3 linked regions of the Lonchura striata genome follow. The protein of the gene in region 1 purifies or fractionates together with the protein of each later gene. This does not show direct contact. Links are inferred from orthologs where the notes say so. Each region holds a gene or a part of one and is shown in the gene's direction. Other genes may lie near its edges.

The links.
Region 2: the proteins of MAP3K4 (region 1) and GADD45A purify together in Homo sapiens (co-immunoprecipitation; 3 studies listed by BioGRID and IntAct, with this or other methods). This does not show direct contact. The link is inferred for Lonchura striata from reciprocal best matches to the Homo sapiens genes MAP3K4 and GADD45A.
Region 3: the proteins of MAP3K4 (region 1) and GADD45B purify together in Homo sapiens (co-immunoprecipitation; 3 studies listed by BioGRID and IntAct, counting the BioPlex papers as one, with this or other methods). This does not show direct contact. The link is inferred for Lonchura striata from reciprocal best matches to the Homo sapiens genes MAP3K4 and GADD45B.

The regions. Positions count from the first base shown.
Region 1 is NC_134605.1:36,155,308-36,165,043, forward strand, and holds the start of MAP3K4 (mitogen-activated protein kinase kinase kinase 4), read left to right. Parts: upstream 1-5,920; 5' UTR 5,921-6,114; coding exon 6,115-6,188; intron 6,189-9,736. UniProt on the Homo sapiens protein: Component of a protein kinase signal transduction cascade. Activates the CSBP2, P38 and JNK MAPK pathways, but not the ERK pathway. Specifically phosphorylates and activates MAP2K4 and MAP2K6.
Region 2 is NC_134611.1:5,082,309-5,091,980, reverse strand, and holds GADD45A (growth arrest and DNA damage-inducible protein GADD45 alpha), read left to right. Parts: upstream 1-6,508; 5' UTR 6,509-6,561; coding exon 6,562-6,605; intron 6,606-6,687; coding exon 6,688-6,789; intron 6,790-6,867; coding exon 6,868-7,081; intron 7,082-7,577; coding exon 7,578-7,691; 3' UTR 7,692-8,082; downstream 8,083-9,672. UniProt on the Homo sapiens protein: In T-cells, functions as a regulator of p38 MAPKs by inhibiting p88 phosphorylation and activity.
Region 3 is NC_134630.1:6,069,911-6,079,218, forward strand, and holds GADD45B (growth arrest and DNA damage-inducible protein GADD45 beta), read left to right. Parts: upstream 1-5,796; 5' UTR 5,797-5,936; coding exon 5,937-5,974; intron 5,975-6,061; coding exon 6,062-6,163; intron 6,164-6,377; coding exon 6,378-6,591; intron 6,592-6,710; coding exon 6,711-6,824; 3' UTR 6,825-7,525; downstream 7,526-9,308. Other genes in the region: STAP2 (signal-transducing adaptor protein 2), read left to right, coding at 405-474, 1,377-1,455, 2,064-2,198, 2,748-2,809.

The DNA.
Region 1 (9,736 bases):
CCATTGTATCCTGGCAGTCATAGAAAAATTCAACCGAAGGTGTCGAGGCAAGCCATCTTTTAAACAAACAGCTCAGCAGAAAATATCACATGGATCTCCTCTCCCTAACACAAAGGTCATAATCTGGGTTCCTCAGCTGGCTGTAGCTGGAAAGACTGCTGTGCCAGGACATCATATTAGCTCACATCGTTACACAGTTATTTCAAGTGCTGTGTGCTATATCTCCTAGCATGGATGTGCCTTAAAGTAAGCATCAATTCCTGTGAGGAAGAGGAAATCCAAATCAATTATAGAAATAATGATAGGGGCTAATAGGATTCAAATGAGAATAAAAAACTCTGAATGCATTGAAATAATGTCAAATGGCAGGCAATTACCTCTTTATACTGTAGGAACTGTATAAGTATTTAAAAGGATGAAAATAGTTATGTTAACAATGAGGGAACAGCTTTTTTGAAGTAATGAAATGGACGGAAATTAAAAAATTAAACCTCTGGCACTACAGAATGGGACACAACTGGGAGTTATAGAATAAGATACTATTTTACTATGCTGTAGTTAGGAGGGCTTTGCAACAAATGGGGAATATCTTAATTCCTACTGATGTTCACCAGAACTGAGCCATCAACAGGATTACACCACAAAATTCACCTTGTGAAGTTGTGGGGACAGCATTATTCCAGATGATTCAGAGCAAAAGGAGGAAATGAATCCTATAAACATTTATATGTATGAGTAACTGTTCTCCCAGGGTTGTCCCACTGATTTCAGTATGCCTATTATATAAGTGAACTGATGTGTATGTGTTTGTAGGGATTAACATTTAATGAAGATTAAAATTTTCTCATGGCTGTTTATGACTCCGTCCAGCTGATACAACTGCCAGGACCTGCTGGGATAAAGGAAAATGCCAGCTACTTTTCTGTGATTATTCTCACTTATAAAAATAACAGTGGGAAAGAGGAGACATGGGCAGCTCCAGCCTTCCCAGACAGGGAAGTTTGATACAAATCTCACAGCTGCTTTCTGCTGGGATAACACAGCTACTAAAAGGCAAATCTCAGCTGCACAACCAGATAATTTAAAAAAAATATAGTTTGGAACTTTTTTTGGTGCTTTCTGGGATGATGGAAAGAAGAAGCATCACTTTATACATTTTGGTATAAGTAACTAGTCAAACTTGCAAGATGCTTGAAAACGTTGAAAGAGTTGTGTGCAACAGTGCATTGGATTGCACTGTCAGGCACACACAGAAGATAAATAGATATGCTCTGAGCCTACAAGTAGGGTTGCAAAGAATTGGCCCCAGCTCTTCACTGGAGCTTCTTTGAACATGAAATTAATGCAGTGAACACCAATGCAGACAAGCATTTGGTCGTGTTTATAAATGCCCCATGGCTTCTCACTGAGTATGTCTATTATATGCCTGGGGAAAGAATTAAAATATGATTTAGCAGGAACCTAGCAAGCTTAGTCTGTTGTTGATAAGCAAGTTCAAGTAGCATTGAATTCAGTGCAGCTGATTTTCACAGGTCAAAATCAGTTATTGGGAAGATGTAAACTGCTGTAGCCACACTGCTATACATGTGTCAACATTTTCAGTTTCAGATAATTTCTAAGTCTAGTGCCTTGGTATCTTTGAAGAGCAGACAGTGGGTTTAGCTATGCCCAGCTTTATAGACACTGAGCCCAAAGACCAGCTTTGGGCCAGACAGTAAAAGCATACAGCTTTAAGCACAACTGGATTTTGTACTTGTCTCATTTGGGTCATGCTGTTTTAATAATGCAGAGGCAGTGCTACATAGAGTTGCTTTTTAGGACAAGATGTACCTAAAAAAAATAATGTGATGCCCATTTGCAGTGATAAAACAATAATCACAGGAATGTCTCTGACCTCATGCTACTCTTACTAACAAATACTCCTCTAATAGTGGCGAATTAATGGTATTGAGCCCTGTGCAATCCGACATGCAGCCTGTGAGATGACAGTGCTCAGACAGAAATATTCCACCTCCATCAAGTTAGCCAGCTCCTATTATAGCACGGGTGTCAAACCATGCTGCTGAACAAGCTTTGGCAGCTATCGTGCCAGCTTCCCAAGTGAATGAATCACAGCAGTAACGGGTGATTGAACAGGCCTATATACAGTGGGACTCCTTAATTTCTTTCAGCTTCACACTTCAAATCAATTGCAGCAATGCTCAGGTTAGATAACACTGAAAACTGGGTTCTGTTTCTTTCAATGCCACCCCCAACCTGATCTTCTGTGAGAAGAACGAAACTGTATATGGAGGAATCTGCATATGCCCAGGTAGAAATACATCTTGGTATTTTATTTGGACTGTGGAGATGCTAGTTGCAATGTCTACATAAGAAATGGTGTCAGGATGTGTTCTAGATATTAAATGCATGTATTGTTCATGTTTTACTCTTCAATGCATTGCAGAAGAGCATTTCTAACCTATGACCAAGAAAAAATGAATATTCCGTCTTCAGCACATTTTACTAAATCTAGACTAACTATACCTAGCAGACTATTTTCTAATGTCTGATTACCTCTGCTTTTACTTTAAAATAGATTTTATTAGAATTAAAATAAATAACTTATTTGAAGGAAAAACTAATTGTACAAAGCTGGGTTTGTTAAGAATTTGAAATTTTTTTGCATGTAGTTCACACAGTGAAGAAAAATCTGATTATTAGATTTCATTTACTGAGATTTCATTTACATGACTTAAGAAAACCCAAAACCAAGTTGTGCCTTATTCTGTGCAATATTCATAGTGTGAAAAAAATGTTTTGAAGTTTGGCCTTGTGACAGGTACCAGAAGAAAAATTTTCAAATATATTCTTATAATGTATTTATTTACTTAAATGGACCAAATATTTCTTTGTCTAGATTAGGATATTTTGTATAGAGAAAATACCTGGAGAAATGTCAGATGGCAAAAGCACAGCTGCATGTACAACTGTGTCTGATATCTGTGATGACTTGAGGAGGAAGGAACAACAGCATATATGCCCCAGAAATCGACAGAAATTTCAAGGGTACTTGCAGTAGAAATTTGAAAATGCTATTTTAAAGATATATTTTTGTTATTAGGATGCTATTGCCATGTCAAATTTCTATTGCAAATTCTAGGATTGCTACTGTAATAAAAGGCATGTTGCTAGAATAAAAAGTAATTCCTAAGCAATTGCAGCACCTGCTAAATTATAAAGCCAGATGTTTCCTGAAGAAAAAGAAGAAAATTAATTCTAAAACTTCTGAAGACAGAAGTTAAACTGAAATAAACTTGTCTATTTTGACAGTTACTTATTTCCTGGTTTGTTTTTTTAAACTGGAATTTTGGAGTCATGATTTTGCCACATCAGACAATAAAATAAATTCCTAATATTTTAACTCAATTTTATTACAGACAGGTGCTACTTATTGTGATGTGTATTTTAACCTTGTGACTTCTTCTGTTCCAGTAGTAGGACCAGAGAGAACAATTTCATTTATCAATTTCCATGCACCTTTGAAATATTGATTGTTTAGACTCAGAAACTGGTAGTCAGGGAGTCTGAAATACGATGATATTCCTTAAAAGAAGTAAAAAATAATTAAAAATTTTTTGCATATCAATTTTTAAGACCTCTGTGTTGCCTTGAAATTTTTTCTTTGCCGAATATATTCCTATATAGGCTCTTATATCATCTGATGTTCTTCCTGTACCATCACCTCCAAATATTCCTGCATCTCTTAATTTCTTCCCAAGTTCTCTATAAAGCCATTTATAAACTTCTTCTCTTACAATGTTCTCCTTTATGCCAGGAGCTATGTTGCTCACCATGGTCAATTGCAGTTAAAAAAGCATCTCTGTATCAAATTTACAGCCTTGCTTTTCTTGGCCAGTATCTGTAGTTCTATGATATTTTCTGTGATATACCACAAGAATGTGACGAAATGCAATATGCTGGGTTGTCCTAAAGGGGAAGGGGAAAATGTGTACAGGGAAGAGTTTTCTGGACCACCTTGTTTGAGAGGCTGCAGTGAACCACAGTTTACTCCAGTAAATTATCTTAATATTTACAGAAAGTAGTGGCAGTGGTTAGTCCCCATTCCTCCCTTTGCCAAGGGGACCTTGGGATGGCACCGCCTCCACAACAACACATCTATGGCAAAATGCAGTATCAGATTTAATGAAAACTCTGTGCTTCTAAGAGACCACTGTATTGCTTGTTTTAATAGAAAAAGCAAAGAAGCTGAAATGTTTTGCCACGATTGCTAAATACATCTTTGCTCTGCAAACAGCTGCAGAGATGGTGTGAGACAATGGTCCCTAACTGAAAAGAATGTTCAAATTCAAACTGTAACATTGGCTTTTTTTATTTGTGATCATACTAAAAACACATGCATACTGTGAAGTAAGCAGCTTTACCTTAGATAATACATGCTTTTTATGGAGATGACAACTAATTTATTAGCTTAGCACTTTAGAATTTTTGTCCTTCAGCTATGGTTTCTAGGTTTTGTTCACCATGACAGACTAGTGGGACTGTATTGTGTGCATCTGACATTGGAACTGCTTTATGGTTTTGGGCTCAAGTACTCAAGCAAAAATCTTCGACATGATAAATACTGCGTTTTTCCATTACATGAAGAATGTTAACTAATAATTCTTGACATAAATCTTGAATGTCTTGATGTTTCAATATCATGATCATCAGGGTCATGGTGATTTGGGTATCTTTCTTGACATATGGAAAAGTCTAAGTGGCTTCCTGTATAATGACATTTATCTGGTCCTGGATTTTAAAGCGTGAATTCATTAAGATGATAAATAGTAGATACAGTAGAAGTATACCCTGCATTTCAGCTTAAAAAAAATTTCTTTTATTTCAAAAGGACTGTTGAATTTGTTTCCTAAACTTCAACAGAGAGGTGGACAACTTTATTTAATGAACAGTGACTTTACAGCTGAATTTTGGTATCAGACTAGAAAGGTGCAAATTTCTTGAGCTAATGAAGAAACTGGTGCAAAAATGGAGAATCTAGAACTGATTCTAGTCCAAGCTCAAATGTCACCCATCAGAAGTAAGGCGTGTGCTTTGTGTACACATTACTGACCCAAGGTTTGTTGCTGTGCTTCCAGTGCTGTAACACACAGGAGGACACTCCCTCTCACCGACCCTAACAATTAAACGACCCGTGGCACTTTTCTGCCTTTGACGGGAATTAATATTGATATTGATATTCCAGCCAACCTTAAGTTCAGGAAGTCACATTTTCCTCGCTGTATTTCCAGCCGCATAATGTGGCTCTAGTTCTCTGTCCGGGGCTGATAACCAGTGCTGCTGGAGGGTTTAAAAAGTCCAGGATCATAGATTCAAACAAGTTACTCTGTCAGCAGCAGAGTCTAAAAGATAGAAGGTTATTCTTCCATGCATACCCCAAAGGGGCACTAAAGGGTCTTTCACGTCCTCCCCTCCTTGGAGCCGGGCGCGGCCGCTGCAGCCCCCGCAGGCGCTGGGCTTCGGGCCGGCAGGGCTGCAGGCAGCAGCACCTGCTGCAGGAAACCACCTTCCCCTCCGCAGTGAGACTTTTCCTCTCTCGCTGTGTGCCGGCGCTGTGGGAGCGAGCAGCGGCAGGGACGGCGGCACCCGCAGTGAGCGGCCGTAGGCAGCGCCCGGCAGCTCCGTCGCCGGGGCACGGAGGGGACGGCAGCGCCCGCCGCGCCCCCACCGCCGCCCCGCCTCGGGATAGACGCGGCCCCTCGCGGGGAGCGCGGAGATGTAATTCGCACGGTGCGGAGGGAAGCGCCGCTGTCCCACAGCCTGTCCCGACCCCGCGGCGAGCGGCGAAGCCCGCACCGGGAGCCGCCCCTCGTCCGGCCGCGGCGGAGCGGGCGCCTCTGGTGCGGCCGGTCCCTCCTGGCGCGCCGTAGCGATGCTGCCGGCGCCGCTGCCCTCGGAGGCTGTTCCCAAGATGGCGGCCGCGCGGGCGGCTCTGCGCGGCCGCACTCCTGCAGCCGGCTAGGGACCCGCTGCCCTCCTCCTGCTGCTCCTGCTCCGCGCTGCGCCCCCGCACCGCGCACTGGGGCCCGCCGCCATGCCGGCCCCGGTGCATGCATGAGAGACGCCGCCGAGCTGGTTTGCGCCGCCGCCGCCGCCATGGAGGAGCCGCCGCCGCCGCCGCCGGGGAGGTCAGTACCCAGTGCTGCCTCAGCGCCGGCTCCGTGCAGGGAGCGATGCCGGGCGGGGCTGCGAGCGCCGGGGCCGGGGTGCACGCTGTGCCTCCCGGCCCCTCCGCGCTGCTGAACCCGAGGCTGCTGCTGCTTCAGCGCTTCTGCGGAGCGCCACGGAGCGAGACGGTGCTTCGATAAGAAATCTCTAGTGGTTGCGGTGGGTAAGGCAGTGTTTTGTGGACGCTTTGCAATTAAAAGCAAATAGTTTCCTTCTCCCCCAGCCTCGCAGTAGTGCAAGCGGTGTGTAGGGGCAGTGCCCGCCCGGCTCCCGGAGGCTGCGGAGCGGAGCGGGAGCAGCAGCTGGAGCCCGCGGGAGGCGGACGGAGCGTGACCTGTGCTCCTTGACTTGTGAGCTGCAGCGATAAAAGCGCTGCCCTCCTGCGAGGCTGTCTCGTGTTTATGGCAGCCGTGCTTAAGATCGGGTTCTCTTTGGCGTGCCCGTGAAACAGCAGGGTCATGGAGTATCGCTGCTGGCAACGTTGCAATCGATAGTTGTAAGAACATAGGGTTAAAAAAAATCACAAAAAACAAAAAGCGTTCACAAAGAAGTGTTGTGATGCCTCAAAGCTTTCTGCAACTGCTGTCACCTCCTCTACAATTGGCTTTTTGCGAGTCTCCATCTGTGCTCGGCTGAGAGATGGGGATGCAAATTACTTTATGGTTCAGTTTTTCCAGCTGGCTGCAGAAGTATTGCATAAGTCCAAGTTATTAATTCCGTGGCAATTATTTCTCATTTTTAAATAACATCCTGTTGATGCACTTCACTTCTCGCTAGGAGGCATTCAGGAAACCTTTTTAAAACGCTTGTGTGATCAATTAATACTGTAATGTAGTAGTCGGGTGCATTGTGTTCCAGGTGTGCTGTGCAAAATATCTGCTGTGGTGTTGCTGAGATAGTTCTTGAGTATTGTGAACTGTTGTTCTGTACTGATGGAATAAAAGGGAAGTGGTGATGTGCTCCTGTGTGGGTCAAGGCTATGGGGTTGAACAGTGCCTTTGAGTTTTCATGAATGTGCACTAACGATTTGTTTTTCTGTCATGCCAAAATCGGAATATATATAAAATTAGTAAGATTTAACAGAAATATTATGAAATATAAATGCTATAGGGCAACGGAATTAGTAAGGTTCTAAGTTCCTTTTTAAAGGACTCTTCAAATACTAATACTGCAGGTTAAGCAGAAAATGATTTAAAATAAAGTTTGTATAACAGCACGACACTACACCTGAGCTGTCTTCATGCAGAAGAGTAATCTTCAGAGCCTGAATGGAAAACACCCAGGCATTTCCTGTGCAGGGCCATTTCTGACCTCTGCTGGATTCTGCTTATTACAGGACAGTTTATATGAGTCGGATGTGGGTGTGGATAATGTGGTGACAACTTTACCCAGCAAATGAAAATTGAATTAGCTATTTCAGAGTGAGCTGGTAGGTGGGAAGGGGATGTCTCAGAACAATTAGGTAGTCTTAATTTGTGTAGGGTAATGCATGTACTCCATCCACTGTGATTCACTTCTGCGTGTACTTTGTGTCCCAAGTTCACACCTGCTTCTCTGGCTTTATGCAGCACTTGCTTTAACTTAAATGTAATACAAGTAAAATATCTGATTTTCTTTTGGTTCAAATTTTGGAGCCATCATTAGTTGTTTATTCTTGGGGCTGTGAGGTCAGAATCTTGTTGAAATCAGTTTATTTTGCACAGCCTTGGGCGTTTGAAGTCCATTTGATGGCAGATCACTTTTAATCCTGTTTGTAGACTATGAATGTGTTCTTATGATAAAGAGTTCTGGCTGCTACTAAAGTGCATTGCTATAATGCATTCTCTTTAAGTTAACTTTAGTTCTGGTGGAGAAGTATTCAGTCATTCTGAATTAGCAATACACCTACATTTGTTTAATAAACAAAACTTACTGATTTGTTGTTCTGAGACTGCCTGATGTGAGAAATCTGCTTGTCTTTGTGTGAGGAGTCTGTCTCTTGTTAGAATATAAATGCAATGGTAAATTTTGTAACTGAAGGCAAACATAAAATATATATATATATATATATATTTAATTACACAGTCCTTAGTCAAAAGCTTTTGATTATGAATCCCTCTCCAAAAACACTGTGTTTTTCCCAGGTCTTATTTTCATTCTTGAAACACACTTTGGTGGGGGGAGAGAGGGGAGACAGCTCTAAACTGAAAAATGCTCAGGGAAGCTATGAACAAATGTTGATTTTGAGGTAGAATTGCACTTTGACCCTGGATAGCATGCAGTGGTTATGGATAAGTGAAAAGATACTACTGAAAGATTTAGTGAAGAATTCACGTTTAAGTATCAATCCTTAAAACAAGTGGAAAGTTTTCAAGCTAAAATGTTTCCACTTAGATAATTTAGAATGCCAATTAAAACGGATGTGTTTAGTGTTTCTTGACCATTTCCCATAGGCTTTATATTTCTCAAGCCCAATTTTAGGCTTTCCCAAGAATTTTCTGGCACAAAATCCACCGTAGAGAAAAATGAGGCCTTAAGCATGTCCTTTGTTGGGACTCTGTCCTTTGTTTGGGGGCACTGCAAAGGCATGAAGAGACATAGGGCTACCCTGACTTGTGCTTTGATTGCTTGTAGCCCTCTTTTCTCCTAGCACACATCCAGTGCAAGGGGTGAAGGAAGGATCAAGGCTGTGAATAAGGTGGGACAGAATTGTGAATTATGTGGAGGCTTCCTCCTTGCTGGAGAGCTTGTCAGTAGTCTCTCTGCCAGATTTGTTGTCTCTAGGATGACAATGAATTGGGGCTGTCAGTCTGCAGCATCTGTGGTTTGGGGAAAGCCTGAGGTTATGTCATGAATTGTGCTCAACATATTTTCCTGCTTGCCAGACTATCTGTATGGCTGATAGTATATGAGCAGTGAAGGAGCTTATTTTATTAAGATCATAGCTTCAGTGGGAAAAATGATTTAAGTATATAGAGCTTTGCCATAGTTTTTTTTTCTCTCATGCATTTAAATGAAGTGAGATGTAATCTCTATTCTACATGTATTGCATTTTCTTGTTTACATGTGCAAGACTGGAATGAATGACTGATTGCTCCACCTACGCACAAACACACATGAAGTGCTCGTTGAGATGTCTTTGGCATTGGTAGCAGTAAGGATTAGTCTGTGTTGTGTGGCTGCTTGGGTTGTTTTTATGTCTGTTAATTAGTGCTGTCTCTGTCAAGGTTGGTTTTGCTATTATGTAAGCTAGTGATATTGACCTTTGTGGAATGCAAACTGTGCTGTGATGAAAACAAATCTACTGAATTTAAAGGAAAGCATAAGAGATATGCAGTAATTCTTACTTCAGGGAGCTAATTGGGATTTTTAGAGGCTTATAAAGATTTGACTTCCATGACAACCACATTTCTTAAATTGCATACACACCATTATTTTAAACTGCAGCTAAAATACATTTAGAAGACAATTTTTCATAGTACCAACTGCTAGTCAATAGTGTGTTGACCTCTGTCAGCTCAGGAATCTC
Region 2 (9,672 bases), on another chromosome or scaffold:
GAAAAAACTTGTGTGTTTTCTCAAGAAAAATAAGTCACCCTTGTTACAGGCTCATGTTAAAGCATTGGCCTGACAGGTGCTGCTTCAGCATGTGGGGCAGCTCCTCATCCCCCCGTGGCAGGTGGAAAGCAGTGTCACAGTGCCACGGTGACACCCAGGGAGCCCCCAGCCCTGCTCTGCCCCACGGGACATTGCTGCTCCATGAGAACAGGCAGGAAGCAGCTCCCTGTGCTGCTGCATTTTTTCTGCTTGTTTGTCACCTCTAATTCCTGCTAAAGAGCTTCTGGGCCTGGGGCACAACCCCCACATGCCCCCAGGGCTCCCTCGCTCTCTGCATCACTGGACAGGTTTGGTGTGGAGATGCCATCAGGATGGGCTGTCCTGAGCTCCATCCTCTCCACGGGATGTTTTCTCAGCCTTTTCCCTCTGGTTTTGCAGCCCAAGTGGCTCCCTGGGATGTTGGTGGCTCCCAGCCTGCGGCCCCACAGCGGAGCGGGGGGTTCAGCACAGACAGAGCCCAACCCCACGTCAGGATCCCGTGGCTAGAGGCTGGGCTCACCGTTCTCTTTTTCCTCGCTGCAAAACCACGCTGAAATTCAAAACCAAACGCGTTTTTCCTGCCGGGGCTCCCGGTGCCGGCCCCGCTGCGGCCGCCAGAGAGCACCAGAGCGACGGCGGCCCGTCCTGAGCCCTTCCCTTCCCTTCCCTTCCCTTCCCTTCCCTTCCCTTCCCTTCCCTTCCCTTCCCTTCCCTTCCCTTCCCTTCCCTTCCCTTCCCTTCCCTTCCCTTCCCTTCCCTTCCCTTCCCTTCCCTTCCCTTCCCTTCCCTGTCCCTGAGCAGGGACTGAACCCAGGCAAGGCTGCTCCAAACCTCATCCTTGGGCACTGCCAGGGATCCAGGGATCCAGGGGCAGCCAAAGCTGCTCTGGGAATTCCATCCCAGGGAACAATTCCCAATTCCCAATGTCCCATCCATCCCTGCCCTCTGGCAGTGAAGCCATTCCCTGTGTCCTGTCCCTCCATCCTTGTCCCCAGCCCCTCTCCAGCTCTCCTGGAGCCCCTCCAGGCCCTGCCAGGGGCTCTGAGCTCTCCCTGGATCCTTCTCCTCTCCAGGGGAACATTCCCAGGGGCTCTGAGCTCTCCCTGGATCCTTCTCCTCTCCAAGGGAACATTCCCAGGGGCTCTGAGCTCTCCCTGGATCCTTCTCCTCTCCAGGGGAACATTCCCAGGGGCTCTGAGCTCTCCCTGGATCCTTCTCCTCTCCAGGGGAACATTCCCAGGGGCTCTGAGCTCTCCCTGGATCCTTCTCCTCTCCAGGGGAACATTCCCAGGGGCTCTGAGCTCTCCCTGGATCCTTCTCCTCTCCAGGGGAACATTCCCAGGGGCTCTGAGCTCTCCCTGGATCCTTCTCCTCTCCAGGGAGCCCCCCCAGCTCTCCCAGCCTGGCTCCAGAGGGGCTCCAGCCCTGCAGCAGCTCTGGGGGTTCCTCTGGGCTCTCTCCAGCAGCTCCAGGTCCTGCTGATGTTGGACCCCAGAGCTGGAGACAGCTCTGAAATAGGGCTTCATAGGCATTATATACATTTTATATTATTTATTTTAATTTATATATTTAAATCTGCTCCCAAATAAACGCCTCGGTTTCATTATCTCTACTGCAACAGCCACCAAACCCTGGTCTTCACTCCACGCTCCTTCCTCTTTGCTTTCCAATCACTCTTCCCACTCCATTTATAGGAGACAAAATGAATCCAGATTAATGATTTAACATCCCTGCCCCGAGCTCCCCGCTGCCCGCAGGAGCATCAGTGAAGGTCGCTGTGGCTGGAGGCTGAACCACCCCCGTTCCCGGATCCCACGGGCACGCCTGGGGGCTGGTTTGGGGAGGGTCCGGCCCTCCCAGTGCTCACACCGGAGCTCTCCTGCGGGCCCGGGGAAAGCCAAGCGCCCGGGAACAGGGAATTCCCTGCGGGAGGCAGCACCGGGCCGGGGGGTGTTGGCAGCACGGCACAGGAAAGTGTTCCCACGTGGAAGCGCCACTGGTGCGCTGCTTTATGGCCCCACGCTGCCAAGAAATGGAAAAAGTTTGTTTTCACTTCAGCGCGGCTCTCTCTGTCCCCGGGCTGGACTTCGCCCGGCGCTGCCCGGCCGGGTGGTTCCCACCCGGGCTGCCACGCGTGCCCGGCATGGCCAGGCTGGGAAAAACGCCTGATTCTGCAGGGAGAAGGGGTGGAGGGTGCATGCAGGGCAGAGGGAACGTCCCTGCCAGGAGCAGCACAGCCTTCTGCTGCCCTGAACCCACAGGCACGAGGAGCTGAGCAGGGACTTGCTGGGCTGGGGAAGGAAAAGATATTCCAGCAGGAAGTCTCCTTCAGCAGAAGGAAAAGACATTTCAGATATTTACCCAGGGTGGTGGGACATGGGTGAGCCATGAAATCACAGAATCCTGGGGTGGTTTGGGCTGAAAGGGACCTTAGACCTCCTCCAGTCCCACTCCCTTGGGGAGCAGGCAGGGACACCTTCCCCTGTCCCAGGCTGCTCCAAGCCCTGTCCAAGCTGGCTTCGAGCACTTCCAGGAACGGAGCAGCCACAGCTGCCAGGGTCTCACCACCCTCCCGGCCAAGAATTTCCTCCTGATCTCCAATCTCCATCTCCTCTCCTTCAGTTTAAAGCCACTGGAGCACTCCCAGGCTCCCACTCGTGCTCGCTGTTTGCAGAGCTCCTGCCGCAGCCAGGGAGAGCCGGCTCCCTCTCGGCGACCTTCCAGCACCACGGCGGGCTGCAGGAATGTGCTGAGTGCGGGATAAACACATCCCAGATCCCCGGCGCCCCAGCCCCCTGCCCTCCCACCTCTGCGGGAGCTGAGCCCCGCTCAGGAGCCCGCAAAGGGGCTGGGGCCAGGCAGGAGGAGAATGCCCGTGCCGGGGAGCTGCCAGCCCTGCTCCGTGCCGGGGAGCTGCCAGCCCTGCTCCGTGCTGGGGAAGTGCCAGCCCTGCTCCGTGCCGGGGAGGTGCCAGCCCTGCTCCGTGCCAGGGAGGTGCCAGCCCTGCTCCGTGCCGGGGAACTGCCAGCCCTGCTCCGTGCTGGGGAAGTGCCAGTCCTGCTCCGTGCCGGGGAAGTGCCAGTCCTGCTCCGTGCCAGGGAAGTGCCAGCCCTGCTCCGTGCCGGGGAAGTGCCAGCCCTGCTCCGTGCCGGGGAAGTGCCAGCCCTGCTCCGTGCCGGGGAGCTGCCAGCCCTGCTCCGTGCTGGGGAAGTGCCAGTCCTGCTCCGTGCCGGGGAGGTGCCAGCCCTGCTCCGTGCCACCGAGCCGGGCTCTCGGCTGCACTCCCATGACCTGGGTGGTTGAGAAAGCTGCCGGCACCGTGCCCAGCTCCAGAGCCAAGGCCAGGCGGGCCCGGGCTTCCCTTCCCGCTGTGCCGTGAGCTCCCGGGCTGCCCAAAGCCAAACCCCGAGCAGCAGCAGGGGTGGCTGCAGCTGAACCCCGCTTTGAGCTCCAGCAGGGGTGGGGGGACTCCCAGGAAAACGGGGGGAATGTCTTCTTGTCCTTGTGCTGCCGGTGCTGGAGAGGATGTGGCACTGATGGTGCCAGGGCGGGTGGATCCTGGGGCACTCCCAGGCTCCTGCCCTGCTCCACGGGGAGGCCAAGCCGAGGTTCCCTGGCTGCCAGAGCCCGGGGATCCGCTCCTGCACGGCTCCGGGGCGGGATGCCCCGCTCTGGGAAGGTGGATGTGCCTGGGCACCGCAGGTCAGCTCGGTGACACGGAACTGGTGGCACCGGGGACACGGCGGCTCCCGGAGCAGAGGCCGTCCCTGGAATGTGCAAGCTGGCGTTTGCTCTGCATCCAGCGGATCCAGAGGCACTGGGAACGCTCGGTGGCCCTGGCACAGCAGCCTGGGGTGCCCAGGGGTGTCCCAGCAAACGGGCACAGCGAGATTTCCCACAGCAGCCAAGGGGCTGGACAAAGGTCCCACCTGGGACAGGACAAAGCAGGGAAACGAGGGAGGGGGATCGGGGGCACCCCAAGGAGGGACAGCAGGAGCCAAGGGAACGGGAGCAGCATCCCGGCACTGTTCCAGGGGCTCAGGGCCGGGACCACCCCGAGGCACCCCCGGGAAGGGCCTGGCCGGCTGCCGGGGCTCCGGAGGGATGGGGCTCTGTCACCTCTCACTGCCGCTGTTTGACGGCTGGTCTCCTTCCCAAAATCTGAAATTAAACAAGCTGATGCTCTGAGGTGCGGGAAGCGCCTCTGCAGCTGGTCCAGACGTCCTCCCCCACCGGGGGCTCCAGTGGGCATCTCCCACATCCCTGGGGTTAACCCATTGCTGTCCAAGCCGCCTCCGAGCTCGGGCAGCTCAGCCCCGCAGCCCAGAGAACATTCGGGGTGAGGCTCTGCCGAGTGGGGGGAAGAGCTGAGCCCCTCGGCGGAGCCTGAGCCCCACACGGCTCCCGACCCCCGACTCTGCCACGCCGAAGGAGGGGAGGGCAGGCCCGGCCTAGAGAATGATGAAAGTCGGGATTAAAGGGCAGGGGGGGAGACAAACACCGCGGCCGCTTTTGGCAGGCGATGAAAGGAGGTTCAGCAGCAGCTGCCAGCTGGGAGCTGACGGAGGGACAACAGCTCCATCCCGGGCTGCCCGGGCCGGCGGCCACGGCACATCCCGGCACGGCCAGCGCTGTCCCCGCGCACCCCGCAGCCCGCATCCCGCATCCTCGGGAAACGGGAGAACGGGAGACGGCGGGAGAGCCGCGGGGCCAGCGCGGGTTCAGAGCGCTGCCCGCCGCCCCCGGGAGGGGAAAAGAGCCTTCAGCTGCTTCCCAGCTGCCTCCCAGACAGATTTAGCTCTGGGGCCGGCACAGATGGGGCTGCGGAGGCACAGGCGGAGCCCGCAGTTGCTAATAGAGATACAGCAAATTAAGCGCACTTAATTCGGAGGGTCACCGCACAATGCTCCCACCTGTTTTGCTGCGGTCCGGCCATCTGCCGCCCCTCCACCTGATGCAAAAAGGGCTTTTCTCCCTTTCCCCCACACCGGCTCTCACCAGGCTGCGGCAGCAGGGCAGGGTAGAGCCGGGCCGGGGGGACAGAACAAAGCCCTGGGAGGTTTTCCTCCCGGAGCCAGCACAGCCGGGGGGCGCAGAAATCACCCTCATTATTCTGCTGCAGAAACGCTTTGATATGCCCCTGAAGTGTTCCAGATTGGGCAGGACTTGGAGCAAGATGGGGGGGTGGAACAAAACCATCCCTGGGGTTCCTTCCAGCCCAAACCACTCCAGGATTCTGTGATACCTCATTTCCCAGAGGGGGATTCTGTGATATCTCATTTCCCTCAGGGGTTCTGCAGGAGCTGCATGGATCTGGCATCGCTCTGCACCTTGTGCTGTGGAAACGGCTCCTGGAGCTCAGGAGCTGCAGGAAAACACCGGCACAAGCCAAACTTTAAAGCACACGCTGCCAAATCTCCGTAAGGGACCACCAAGGGTCCTGACTGCAGCCGTGGGGCCGGTGGGAATGTGCCAGCCCACAGCCAGGTTGGGAAAGAGCTCTGGCAGCGGCTGTGGGAGGATGGAGGGGTTTGGGTGCAGCAGCTGAGAAAGCTTTGACACAGCAGCCACCAGGAGAAATCCTGCCCGGAGGTCTCGGGGCTGACACGGGACATCTGGAGCAGGAGCAGCTTCCCGGACAAGCACCAAGTTCTTGGAAAGCTGCAAAGGGAGAGATCGCAGAACCACAGGCTGGGTTGGGTTGGGAGAGATCTTAAAGATCACCCAGTGCCACCCCTGCCGTGGCAGGGACACCTCCCACTGTCCCAGGCTGCTCCAGCCTGTCCAGCCTGGCCTGGGCACTGCCAGGGATCCAGGGGCAGCAGCGTGGCTGCCTGTGGCAAACACAGAAGGAGAAGGATCCAGGGAGAGCTCAGAGCCCCTGGGAATGTTCCCCTGGAGAGGAGAAGGATCCAGGGAGAGCTCAGAGCCCCTGGGAATGTTCCCCTGGAGAGGAGAAGGATCCAGGGAGAGCTCAGAGCCCCTGGGAATGTTCCCCTGGAGAGGAGAAGGATCCAGGGAGAGCTCAGAGCCCCTGGGAATGTTCCCCTGGAGAGGAGAAGGATCCAGGGAGAGCTCAGAGCCCCTGGGAATGTTCCCCTGGAGAGGAGAAGGATCCAGGGAGAGCTCAGAGCCCCTGGGAATGTTCCCCTGGAGAGGAGAAGGATCCAGGGAGAGCTCAGATCCCGTTCCCATTCCCGATCCTGTTCCCGTTCCCATTCCCGATCCCGATCTCATTCCCATTCCCGTTCCCATTCCCGATCCCGGCCAGGCCCGGCCGGACCCGGCACGCAATGGGCGTGGTCTAATTTGCATGAACCAATGGGCGCTGGTTATGCAAACGAAGGGGCGGGGCCGGGCGCCGGGCGGGGCGGCGCGCGCGGGGCGCCTTTGTCCGGCACGGGCGGCGGGGCCGGAGCGGCCGCAGCGGCCGGAGCGCGGTGTCCGCCAGCCCCTGTCCACCCCAGCCCCTGTCCACCCCAGCCCCTGTCCACCCCAGCCCCTGGCCGCCCCAGCCCCGTGATGACCCTGGAGGAGCTGCCCGGGGAGCGCCGCGCCGCCGGGAGGTGAGGCCGGGGGGCGGCGGGGGCCGGGCGGGGAGCGGCGCGGGGTGGCCGGTGACGGCCGGTGCCGCGTGTCCCGGCGCAGGATGGAGCAGGCGGGGGACGCGCTCGAGGAGGTGCTGAGCAAGGCGCTGAGCCAGCGGAGCCTGACCCTCGGCGTCTACGAGGCGGCCAAGCTGCTCAACGTGTGAGTGCCCCCCCCGTCCCCGTCCTCCCCCCGGTGCGCCCTGCCCGGTGCGCCCGCGGTGACGGCGCTGCCCCGCAGGGACCCCGATAACGTGGTGCTGTGCCTGCTGGCGGCCGAGGAGGAGGAGGCGGGGGACGCGGCGCTGCAGATCCACTTCACGCTGCTGCGGGCCTTCTGCTGCGAGAACGACATCAACATCCTGCGCGTCAGCAACCCGGCGCGCCTGGCCGAGCTGCTGCTGCCCGCCGCGGGCCCCGACCCGCCCGCCGACCTGCACTGCGTGCTCGTCACGGTGAGCCCGGGCTGCCCCCGCGGGCTCCCCGCCGCCGCTCGGGACCCCCGAGCCGCCGCGCCCGGGGCTCGAACCCGCGGCCCCGGGGCGGCGCGGGGTCCCGCGGTGCCTCCGCCGCCCTCGCCCCCGTTCGCCGCTGTGCCCCGGCTCCTCCTTTGTTCCTCGCCTCTTTCCCCTGTTCCGTCTTTTCTTTCCTTTGCTTTCCTCCTTTCCCTCTTTATTTTTCCCTTTTTCTTTCCCTCCCTTCCCCCACTTTTATCTCTCCCTCCTGGTTTTTTCTCCCTCCCCCCTTCCCTCCTCTGCCCCAGAGTCCAAAGCTAAAGCTCCTGACGCGCTCCCAGGCCCGACTTGTTTGTTTGCCTCGCCAGCAATTTGAGATGATTCACACTCCTGCGCTTCCCCCCCAGCCCCCGCCCGCCGCTCTGGGCTTGTTTTTGCTGCCGTGCCGGAGCTTTGTTTTTTTTTTTAATTTGTTTTTTTGCCGTCCCCTTTGCAGAACCCGCAGGCGTCGCAGTGGAAGGACCCGGCGCTGAGCCAGCTGATGTGTTTCTGCCGGGAGAGCCGGTACCTGGACCAGTGGGTGCCGGTCATCAACCTCCCGGAGCGGTGACCCCGGCCCGGCCGCTGCGGCGCCGCAGAAATTCTCGCTCAGGAAGGAACTCCCTGCCCCCGGCTCCGGGAGGGAAAATAAAAACCCGACAGCAACAACGAAACGTAGATGTAAAACAATAACGCTAAAACTGATGTCACTTGCGGGGGGTTTGGCTGCGGTGGAGCGATGCCGAGTGTGGCAGATGAGGAGAACAGGATGAGCCCAGCCCCAACTCCCCTCGCTCCCTCTGTCCTTAAGTGCCACTTCAAGTTCCTGCTTTGAACGCCTTGACGAGCAAACAGGTTCATCGAGGCCTTTTGCCAGCAATGTTGTTGTACTTTTGGGATGTAATTCTCACGTTTTTATGCTAAGATATATAATAATAATAATAATAAGTTATTTTCTGATATCAATGGAAAAAAAATTATTTATACTTGGTGGTTTGAGAACCGAAATGCCCTCAAGCAGTTGGTCTGCAACCATGAATCTTCTCCCAGTTGGCTGCAAAAGCAGCGCCATTAATATAATTGTTTGAAATTCGAGTGTATTTTTGGGGTTATGGTGGTCTTGTTTTGTGTTTTCTTTTTTTTTTTTTTTGAAATAAAGTGTAAAAATCAAACCTTTGGCCCAGGCTTTTATTCCCTCACTGCACGAGGCTGAGCAGTGAGCAGCAGCTGCTTCCTCCTGGCCATGGGCAAGGTCCTGTTGTGCAGCTCCAGTGTGGGTTCATTCCCGGCCCCTCCCAAGCAATTAAAGGCTGAAGCAGCCCGTGTGCTGCAGGAAATGTTGGGAATGTTGTTTATTTATTTATTTAATTTGCTTGAATGCTGCTGCAACAGGCACTAAAAAAAAACCAAAAAAACAAACAAAAAAAATGGAAAAAAAAAAAACAAAAAAACAAAAAAGGGTTTTGCTGATGGGGTTTCCAGCTCCTCCTTGGCAGGTGGAAATCCTGATTCCCTGCTGGAGCAAAACCTGGCCCAGGGTTTCCTGGAGGCCGGGAGGGGAGGCTGGACCTGTTCTCCCACTCCTGGGATGCTCCAGCACCAGGCCACCCTGTCCCTGTCCCCAGCCCAGGTCCCACCCTGTGCCTGGGGCCACTGCAGCAGCAGCAGCAGATTTATTTCTCCAAGCTCAGATTCAATCCAAACCCCTCTGGTTTCTCCCAGTGTCACCCCCAGCCCTGTCCCCACACCACAAAGTGGGGGGTCCTGGGGGAACCTGGCCCAGCACACAAATTCTCATTTTTCTCCCCAAATCACACAAATTCTCATTTTTCTCCCCAGATCAGCCAGCTTGGCCAAGGACAAGAGGGGCAGCCCCATGGTGGGGTCTCACCACGGGTTTCTCCCACTACCTGTGGATGCAATGGTTTCGCTTATTTTTTAAAAAGCTACAAAGGCAGAGCCTGCATTTCCCCAGATTTTACAATCTCTGCTCTTTCTGGGGGTACTGATAGCAAAGAGCAAACCTAACCACTCCAGATTTCGGCGTTTCTTGTATTTTAAAATGGTGAGTTCACCAAAAATCTCGGCATTAAACGCTGCCAGATGTGGGCAGCTGTGCTGGATCACCAGGCAGGAGCCCACATCTGGATCAGCACCCTGCCACGAGCGTCTCTGAAGGGCAGACACCAAAAACGTCCCTGCAGCCCAAAAAAATATTCCAATCTCTTCCCAAATCCCTGGGAAAACAAGGACTGGCAGCACGGGGCTCCCTCCCTCCCCTCAGCCCCACAGGAGCAATTAACAGAGCTCATTAATTGTGGCCAGGTGTGTGGCAAGCAGACTCGGTGAAAAGGAACTGGTGCAGAGCCACGCTGCTGCTGGTGTCTTTTTCTACTAAAAAACACTCTGGTTACAAAAATAATTTGCACAGGGTAAGCAGCAGGTTGCTCTGCCAGGCTGATTTTTGGAGCTCTGCCAAAGAGATTTGTCAAACAAAGGTGAATTTTTTTTTTTATTCTCTATCAAAAGTGGGTCTGTAATTTCATACAGAA
Region 3 (9,308 bases), on another chromosome or scaffold:
CAGGGGAGAGGGGTGTCCCCAAGGTTCTGGGGTGTCCCCAAGGGGGAGGGTGTCCCTAAGGTGGTGAGGTGTCCCCAAGGGAGAGGGGTGTCCCCAAGGTTCTGGGGTGTCCCCGAGGGAAGGGTGTCCCTAAGGAGCAGGGTGTCCCTTAGGTGACGGGGTGTCCCCAAGGGAAGGGTGTCCCCAAGGGAAGGGTGTCCCCAAGGAGCAGGTGTCCCTAAGGTGACGGGGTGTCCCCAAGGTTCTGGGGTGTCCCCGAGGGAAGGGTGTCCCCAAGGAGCAGGGGGTCTATACGAGGGGTGGCCCAGGTCCCCATGGGCTGCGGGGACACCCCTTGGTGGCCCCAGGGGGGTGGGGTCCCCTTGCGAGGGGGGTCCCCAGCCCCTGAGGCCGCCCCCCCGCAGGACCCCCGTGGTGAGGCACTACCGGGTGAGGAGGGACGAGCAGGGCTACGCCATCGACATGGAGACCCCGGTGAGGGACACGGGCTGGCCCTGGCGACAGGGACCCCCACCCCGGCCACCCCCGAGCCCCCCGGCTCACCCCGGGCACCGTGTGGGCACCAAGGGTGGGCAGCCCCCGGGAATCCCGCGAGCACCCAAGGGTGGGACCAAGGGGTCCCCAGGGGGCTGGGGCTCAAGGAACTGGGACCCCCAAAGAAGGGACAGGGACCCCCAGCTTTGGGATCCCTGGGAACCCCCACGAGACTGGGACACCCCAAGGGGCTGCAGCCCAGCGGGTGGGACCCCCCGGGCAGGGTCTGGGGGTGCCGGGGATCCCGGTGACCCGGGGCTGTCCCGGTGTCCCGGGCTGTCCCGGTGTCCCGGGGGTGTCCCGGTGTCCCGGGGCTGTCCCGGTGTCCCTGGGGTGTCCCGGTGTCCCGGGCTGTCCCGGTGTCCCGGGCTGTCCCGGTGTCCCGGGGGTGTCCCGGTGTCCCGGGGCTGTCCCGGTGTCCCGGGGCTGTCCCGGTGTCCCTGGGGTGTCCCGGTGTCCCGGGCTGTCCCGGTGAGGCGGGGCTGTCCCGGTGTCCCGGGGCTGTCCCGGTGACCCGGAGGTGTCCCGGTGTCCCGGGCTGTCCCGGTGACCCGGGGCTGTCCCGGTGACCCGGAGGTGTCCCCGGTGACCCGGGGCTGTCCCGGTGTCCCGGGCTGTCCCAATGACCCGGGCTGTCCCGGTGTCCCGGGGCTGTCCCGGTGTCCCGGGCTGTCCCAATGACCCGGGCTGTCCCGGTGTCCCGGGCTGTCCCAATGACCCGGGCTGTCCCGGTGTCCCGGGCTGTCCCGGTGTTCCGGGCTGTCCCGGTGTCCCGGGGCTGTCCCGGTGTTCCGGGCTGTCCCGGTGTCCCGGGGCTGTCCCGGTGACCCGGGGTTCCCCAGCTGCGCTGCTCGGCGCTGCCGGAGCTGCTGCGGATCCTGGTGCGGAGCAGCCGGGGCAGCCTGCGGCCCCTGGAGCGGGGTGGGCACCGGGCGGGGGGCTCGGGGGGCTGGGGGGGCACCGGGGCTTGGGGAGTACCGGGCTGGGGGGCTCCGAGGGAGATCAGAGGGGTCTGAGGGGTCTCAGATGGGTGTGGGGGGGCTCGGAGGGGTCTGGGGGTGGTCAGAGGGGTCTGGGGGCTCGGGAGGGTCTGGGGGTCTCAAAGGGGTCTGGGGGGCCTCGGAGGGGTCTGGGGGGGCTCAGAGGAGGCTCAGAGGGGTCTGGGGGTGCTCAGGGGGGTCTGGGGGCTCAGAGGAGGCTCAGAGGGGTCTGGGGACGCTCGGGGGGGGTCTGGGGGCTCTCGGGGGGTCTGGGGGAGCTCGGGGGAGTCTGGGGGGCTCAGAGGGGTCTGGGGGTGCTCGGGGGGTCTGGGGACGCTCGGGGGGGGTCTGGGGGTGCTCGGGGGGTCTGGGGGAGCTCGGGGGAGTCTGGGGGGCTCAGAGGGGTCTGGGGGTGCTCGGGGGGGTCTGGGGGCTCAGAGGAGGCTCAGAGGGGTCTGGGGGCGCTCGGGGGGGTCTGGGGGCGCTCGGGGGGTCTGGGGGTGTCGCCTGCAGACGGAGGGTCTGTGACCCCCCCCCGCCCCGCTGCAGAGTCGGTGCCGATGGACGGGAGCCCCCCCCCGCTCAGAGCGGCCCTGAGGAGGGGGCGGCCGGCCCTGAGGAGGGGCAGAGCCCCCCCCGGCTCGGGGCCGGTGCCCGGGGAGCGGATCCGCGTGAACGAGCCCGGTGAGGCCGCCCGGGACTGCGGGGAGGGAACGGGAGGGGAGGGGAGGGGAGGGGAGGGGAGGGGAGGGGAGGGGAGGGGAGGGGAGGGGAGGGGAGGGGAGGGGAGGGGAGGGGAGGGGAGGGGAGGGGAGGGGAGGGGAGGGGAGGGAAGGGAACACCCCCACCCCGAGCCCTGACCCCCCCCGGCCCCGCTGCCACCCCCCAGCACAGCGAGGGGACACCAAGGGGACACACAGGGGACACGGGGGGTGGCAGCAGGGGGACACCGGGTCCTGCCAGCGGCTCGGGGGGCAGAGGGGAGGAGCGGGGGGCTCCTGGGGGGCTCAGAGGGGTCTCAGAGGGGTCTGGGGGGATCAGAGGGGTCTGGGGGGGGCTCAGAGGGGTCTGGGGGGATCAGAGAGGTCTGGGGGGGCTCAGAGGAGGCTCAGAGGGGTCTCAGAGGGTTCCAGGGGTCTCAGAGGGTTCCTGGGGGTTCCTGGGGGTTCCGGGGGGTTCCTGGGGGCAGGGGGATCCTCTGCCAGGCGCTCACAGCTCCATCCCCCCGCACAGCGAGTACCCAGGAGCTGCTCCGGGAGCTGCCCGAGAAGCTGCAGCTGCGCCAGGCTCAGTGATGGGCAACTCTGGGGGTGCCCGCTGCCCCCCACTCTGTGCCAGCAGCCAGCAGGACCCCCCCTCACCCTCAGGAAAACTGTCCCCAGTGTCCCCCGGCCTGTGGTGGCACCGGGGAGGGAACCCCCCTCACGTTTTGGGGGGGCACTGTAAATAAAGAACCCTGTGCCCACCCAGCCCCTTCCTGCTCCTGGCACCACGGGGGTGTCACAGGAACCCCAAAGTGCCCCCTGGCACCACGGGGGTGTCACAGGAACCCCAAAGTGCCCCCTGTGCCCCCAGCACGGCCGGGTCACACCCACATCCCGATTTATTCTCCGGGGGGGCACGGAGTGGGGAGGGGGGGGTGAAATTGTGATTTTTGGAGCTCACTGAACCAAATGAATCGAGCGTTTCAATTTTAGTTTGTGGAATTCTGCGTTGAATTTTTACCTTCTGCCCGAGCAACCTTTTGCCACGGTACAAAGGGAGCAGGAAAATGCGAATTTGGGAAGATTCTCGCCTAAAGGGCGATGGCAGCGGAGGCAAAGAGGCAGATAAAGAAGCTCCTCTGCCTCCGAGCTTATCGAGAATGACCGAGCTACTGAGATAAACACACAAAAAGGAGAAAAGCTCAGGAGTTTAATCAGGAAAATACCAAAAATACCAAATCTTCAGCCTGAGACCACAGCAAACCCCCCAAACTGCCCAGACGGGCGTGGACCCATTTAGGACAGGGGTTGAATATATGGAATATAATATGTATTTATTGACGTGGAACATCTTTGTGAATGAAGTGCGGCTCACACCGAGGCTGGGGCACAAATCTTGGAGGAATATCTCACTGTGCCAACGTGCCCACTCCAGAAACGCACCAGCTTGTGGAGTTTTTATTTAATTTATTTATTTATTTGTGTGTTTATTTATTTATTTATCCCGCGGGTGCCGAGATTTATTTCACTTCACAAGGAACAGGGTCAGTGTTTGTGGTCCTGGCCCTGTGGCCCTGGAGCCCGAATCAAAAAATTTGGATTTTTTGAGGGCAGCAGCCTCCCCAAAAATTCCAAAATGGCAAAAAAAAAACCGGTCCAGACCGGGTCCGGTGCTGCCGGTCCTGCTCCGGCTGGGTTTGGGCTCCCCCAGCCCGGTCCCGGTCCCGGTTCGGTTTCCCCCAGCCCAGGTCGGTGCCGGGTTCATGAACCCCAGCCCGGCCCCAGTCGGGTCCCGGTCCCGGTCCCGGTTCCGGGTCCCGGTCCCGGTCCCGGTCACGGTCCCGATCCCGGTTCCTGGTCCCGGTCCCGATCCCCGGTCCCGGCCCTCGGTCCCCGGTCCCCGGTCCTGGTCCCAGCTCCTGATCCCGGTCCCGGTCCTAGCCCTCGGTCCCCGGTCCCGGTCCCGGTCCTGGTCCCGGTCCCTATCCCCGATCCCTATCACGGTCCCGGTCCCGGTCCCAGGTCCCCGATCCCGATCCCGGTCCCGATCCCGATTCCAGCCCCCGGTCCCCGATCCCGGTCCCGATCCCGATCCCGGTCCCGGCCCCGCGCCCCGCCCACTCCCGGAGGCTCCGCCCACCACCGCTCGCAAAGCCCTCTGGGTAATGGAGTCTCCTTTTAAGGGCGCGCAAAGCCGCTCCAGGACTACACTTCCCAGAAGACTTTGCGGCGGGGGCAGCAGACAGCGCCGCCTGCTGGCTCGGAGCGGGAGCGCGGCCATCGCTGCGCTGGGTCGGGGGGGGACACGGGGGGACAGCGACCGGGAACCGGGGACACCGACAGGGGACCGGGGACACCGACAGGGGACCGGGGACACCGACAGGGGACCGGGGACAGCGGGGACACGAACGGAGCGCCAGCACCGCCGTGGGCTGCGGGCAGCGTGGGCAACACGGCTCAGGAGGACGCGGCCGCGGGAAACTGAGGCACGGCGCGGGCGCGTCCCGCGACCCCCGGAGGTTCACGCGCCGCTCCGGCCCCGCAGCTGCGGGACCGGGGGGGCCCGGGTGAGGTGACCCCGCCGTGCCAAGCCCCGGGACAGCGGGAGCGCGTCCCCGCGGGCCCGGGCCGTGTCCCCGGCAGGTGGCGGCCGCGGAGCGCGGAGCTCCCCGCGTGTCCCCGTTTCCCCGCTCCGAGCGCGCCGACCCCTCCCGCCCCCGGCTGCCGGTCCCGGTGCACGGACCGAGCCGCCCCCGCGCGCCGCCGCGGGCATTGCCGCCCCCCGGTGCAACCCCCGCTCCACCGACGGACCCCCGGTGCAGCCCCCGCTGTACGGACCGTTCCGCCGCCCACCGAGCGACCCCCGCTGCCGCCCCGGTGCACTGACCGAACCCCGATCAAGGAACAACCCCCGGTGCACGGACCGAGCCCCCGGTACAGCCCCAACTCCACGCACTAAAACCCCGGTGCAGCCCCCGACCCCCGGTGCAGCTCCGGTCCCACGGACCGACTCCCGCCGTGCAGACCCCCATGCACGAACCGACCTCAGGGACCGACACCCGGTGCAGCTCCCGGTCCCACAGATCACCCCCCGGTGCACCGACCGACCACCGTTGCAGGTCCCGGTGCAAGGAACGACCCCCGGAGCGGGTCCCGGTGCAGCCCCCCGGTGCAAGGAACGACCCCCGGTGCAACTCCCGGTGCAAGGAACGACCCCCGGAGCGGATCCCGGTCCCACGGACCGACCCCGGCCCCCGGTTCCCCCCCGGTTCCCCCCCGGTTCCCCCCCGGTTCCCCCCCGGTTCCCCCCCGGTTCCCCCCCGGTTCCCCCGTTCCCGGCCGGTCCCACGCCCGTCCCGGGGGGGCGCAGTTTCAGGGCGGGGTTTCCCCCACGCTCCCCCCCCCCTCCGTTTCACCCCCACGTGGGCCCCGCCGGCGGCGCCCAATCAGCGCCTCGCCCGTGGGCGGCTCCGCGCGGCGCAGCCAATGGGCGAGGCGGGGGCGCCGCGCGAGGCCCCGCCCTCCGGCGGGAGGCTATAAAAGGCGGCGCCGGGCGCGGCCGGCGTTCAGAGCGATCGTGCTGGAGCGGCGGCGGGAGCGGAGCGGGACCGGGGATCGCGATAGCGCCGCGATATCTCCGCGATATCCCCGCGATAGCCGCGCTCGGGATTATTGCTCTTGGAGTTTGCTTTCTTCTTCTGCGGATTACAATTGCACCATGACCCTGGAGGAGCTGGTGCCTTGCGACAGCAGCAAGTAAGTGGCGGCGGCTCGCGGCGTTCGGCGGGGGGGTCTGCGGTTGTCGCCGCCGCCGCTCACCGGCTCCGTCGTTCCTCCCGGCAGGATGCAGGCGGTGAGCGAGGCGGTGGAGCGGGTGCTGGTGGCGGCGCAGCGTCAGGACCGCCTCACCGTGGGGGTCTACGAGTCGGCCAAGCTGATGAATGTGTGAGTATCGCGACAGGGCTCTGTCGGGGGGTCTGTCGGGGGGTGGCTCATCTCGGCCCGCTTAGAAAAGCTGGCTCTTGCTAGGAGCTTTTATGGGGTGGTGACCAGGCAGAATATGGGGGATCTGTCCCCCACTCAGTGCGACAGGGAGGTGACACGCGTGGGGGGGTGACAGCTCCGTGGGACGGGGTTCTAACTCGCCGCGGCCCCGCAGGGACCCCGACAGCGTGGTGCTGTGCGTGCTGGCCACCGACGAGGAGGACGAAGGCGACATCGCCCTGCAGATCCACTTCACGCTGATCCAGGCGTTCTGCTGCGACAACGACATCCACATCCTGCGCGTGTCGGGCATGCAGCGCCTCGCTGCCATCCTGGGCGAGCCCGAGCCCGGCTCCGAGCCCCGCGACCTGCACTGCCTCCTGGTCACGGTGAGCGCGGCGGGGACGCGCCCGGTGCCCCCGTGCCTCGGTCGGGGAGGGTGGCGGGGCGGCTCGGGGACGCGCGTCGGGGCGCTGGTGGCACTAACATCGTTCTCCTGCTTCTCCAGAACCCGCACACGGACGCCTGGAAGAGTCAGGGGCTGGCGGAGGTGGCGAGTTACTGCGCCGAGAGTCGCGACAGGAACCAGTGGGTGCCTTACGTGTGTCTGCAGGAGCGCTGAGCCCTTCCCGGGCTGGACTTGGAGGATTAAAAACATTAAAAAAAAAATAAAAACCCAACACAAAACAACAGGGGAAAAAAAAAAAGGGAAGAAGAAACAGCCAGTTCCAAGCCACAATCCCCAAAACCCACCGATTTTATTTTTCTTTTGGACCGGAGAGGAGGAGGAAAGGGGAGCGCGGCCGCTGCGGTGGGAATGGAGGAAACCGTGCCGAGCCCGGAGGGGGACGCTGGCCGGAGCCCGGGTGGACACTGGCCGGAGCTCCGGTGGACACTGGACACGGGCACTGGCCGGAGCCCGGGTGGACACTGGACACTGGCCGGAGCTCCGGTGGACACTGGACACGGGCACTGGCCGGAGCTGCCGGCCGAGGAGCCGTGCTGGACCGGGAACCGGAGCCGAGTGAGCCCCGGGCGGGCGCTGCGGAGCGCGGGGGGGTGACCCCGGAGTTGGACATCGTCGCGATTTTTGGGCAGCTGGGACCCGATGGAGGCGAGGAGTGCAGAAATCTGGATTTTTAAAAATTTTTCTTTTGGTGCAAAAACTGCTTTTTTCAAGGAATTATGGACGTCCGCACAGATGGACCTGCACCTCCCGAGTGCTGCTTTTGCACTTGGAGACCCTGAGCTGAACTTTTTCCAGAGTTTATTCTTCTACTGAGCGAGGAACTAAATTTATTTGCAATAAAATGTCTGACGTTAGTGGTGTTTGCTCTTCCCTGCGCTCTGCTGGAGCCGTTCCCAAGGGAGCGGGATCGGCGCCTCCTGGGTGGGTTTTGGGGTGGGCTACACCTCCCCTAAGGGCTCTGCACGCTTTTGGGGGGGGCCTTTTGTAGGGCCGGGGGTTCCCACCCGTGTGTGGCCTCTCTGCTGCTGCTGGAGGAGAAATTCCCACCCCACCCTTCTCTGAAAAAGGGGTTTTTTCCAAGAAAAACACCCACGAGGTGCCCTGAGCTCCGTGGGAAGCTGAGCACGGGCTCCCCCCGGGCTCGGGGCTGGAGTTTTCCCCCACCCGCGCGGAAACCGCGGCCGTGGGAAGCGGCCCCGGGGCTGCCCGCGGGGGTGGGGGCACCCCGGGGAGTCCCCGCGCCCCCATCCCCTCCCCCGGCCGCGGTGGGGGAGTTCCCTCCGTCCTCCGGGGGTGGGGACAAGGACAACCCCGAGGGCTCCGGGGAAACTGAGGCCGGTGCGGTCGGGGCTGGGTGGGAAATGGGGACCCGCGGGGGCTCCCCGGGACACGCGTGGGGGGCTTGGCGGAGCGGCTGCGGCTCCCCTGAGCTGGCCGTGCCCCGTGTCACCCGCGCGGTGTCACACGGGGTGAGCGGGAGCGGTGCCAGCCCCGGCACGGAGCCCGGCCGGGACACGGCGACCGGCCAGCCCCGGTCTGGGGACGCCGTGGCCGGCCCCGAGTGTGGCGCGGCTCGGGGACGCGCCCTGCGCCCTCCTTTGGGGTTTTGACTGCGGGGGAAACTGAGGCACGGTGCGTGACAGCCACCGCAGCGCCACCCCGCCGTGTCCCGGCGGTCCCAAGGGACAAGGGGGTGACAGCACCACAGCACCCTCTGGGTGGCCCAAACCGCGACCCCCCCGAGGTCCCCCAGCTGTGGGGTGGGGGGGGCGCGATGGGGTCGCGCTGTTCCCCGGGATCCTCCCGGGAAAATCCCGCAGGGAAAGGGCCCGAGGGCGGCTGAGGCCGCCGCAACTCGTTTCACTGATGAGGCAGCGCGGTCACGAGGCCATTCCTGTCGCCGCTGTCACCGCGGCCGTGCCGCTCGTGTGACCGGTGTGTCAGGCCGCCGCTGTGTCACGGGGCCGGGAGGGGTGACCGTCCCCCCCAGACCTCCCCTGTGCCCCCCAGACCCCCCAAAATCTCCCTTCCCACCCGCAGGAGCAGCCCCCCCCCCCCCCCCCCAGCCGGGTCACGCACATGCCACCCCCCCCACGGTGTCCCCGTGTCCCCTCCAGGGACACCCCGAGTCACCCCAAACTGCAGCCGGGGCCCAGAAACCCCCACAGACACCCCCCCCCCATGGACCCCAAACCCACGGAGCCCCAAAAGTCCCCCCAGCCGGGGTGGGGACAATGGGACGGGACCGCGCTGGCTCGGGGATCCCGGCCGGGCTCTGACCCAACTTTGCACCCCTCGGAGCCGGCCCGGACACGGGGGGAGGTTTGGGGGTTCGGGGAGGGGTCCCTCACTCACCCCCACCCCCCCAGCGCCGGGAAAAGGAATCCAGGGCTGGGAATGGGGGTCCTGGGGGGACCCCCCCCATCACCACCGCGGGATAATTCAACCCTGGGTGATAATTAGGTCATTAATAATGAATTAGGAGGTCGCAGCCAGCCCTGGGGTGCAGGATGGGTGTTGGGCACCCCCCAAAAAGCCGACACGGGGTGGGGGGAGGATTTTGGGGGGCGGGAGGTCCCGGGGGGTGACACGGGCGGGGTTCGGGGGCCCCGAGCCCCTTCCCGGCTCCGGGGCGGC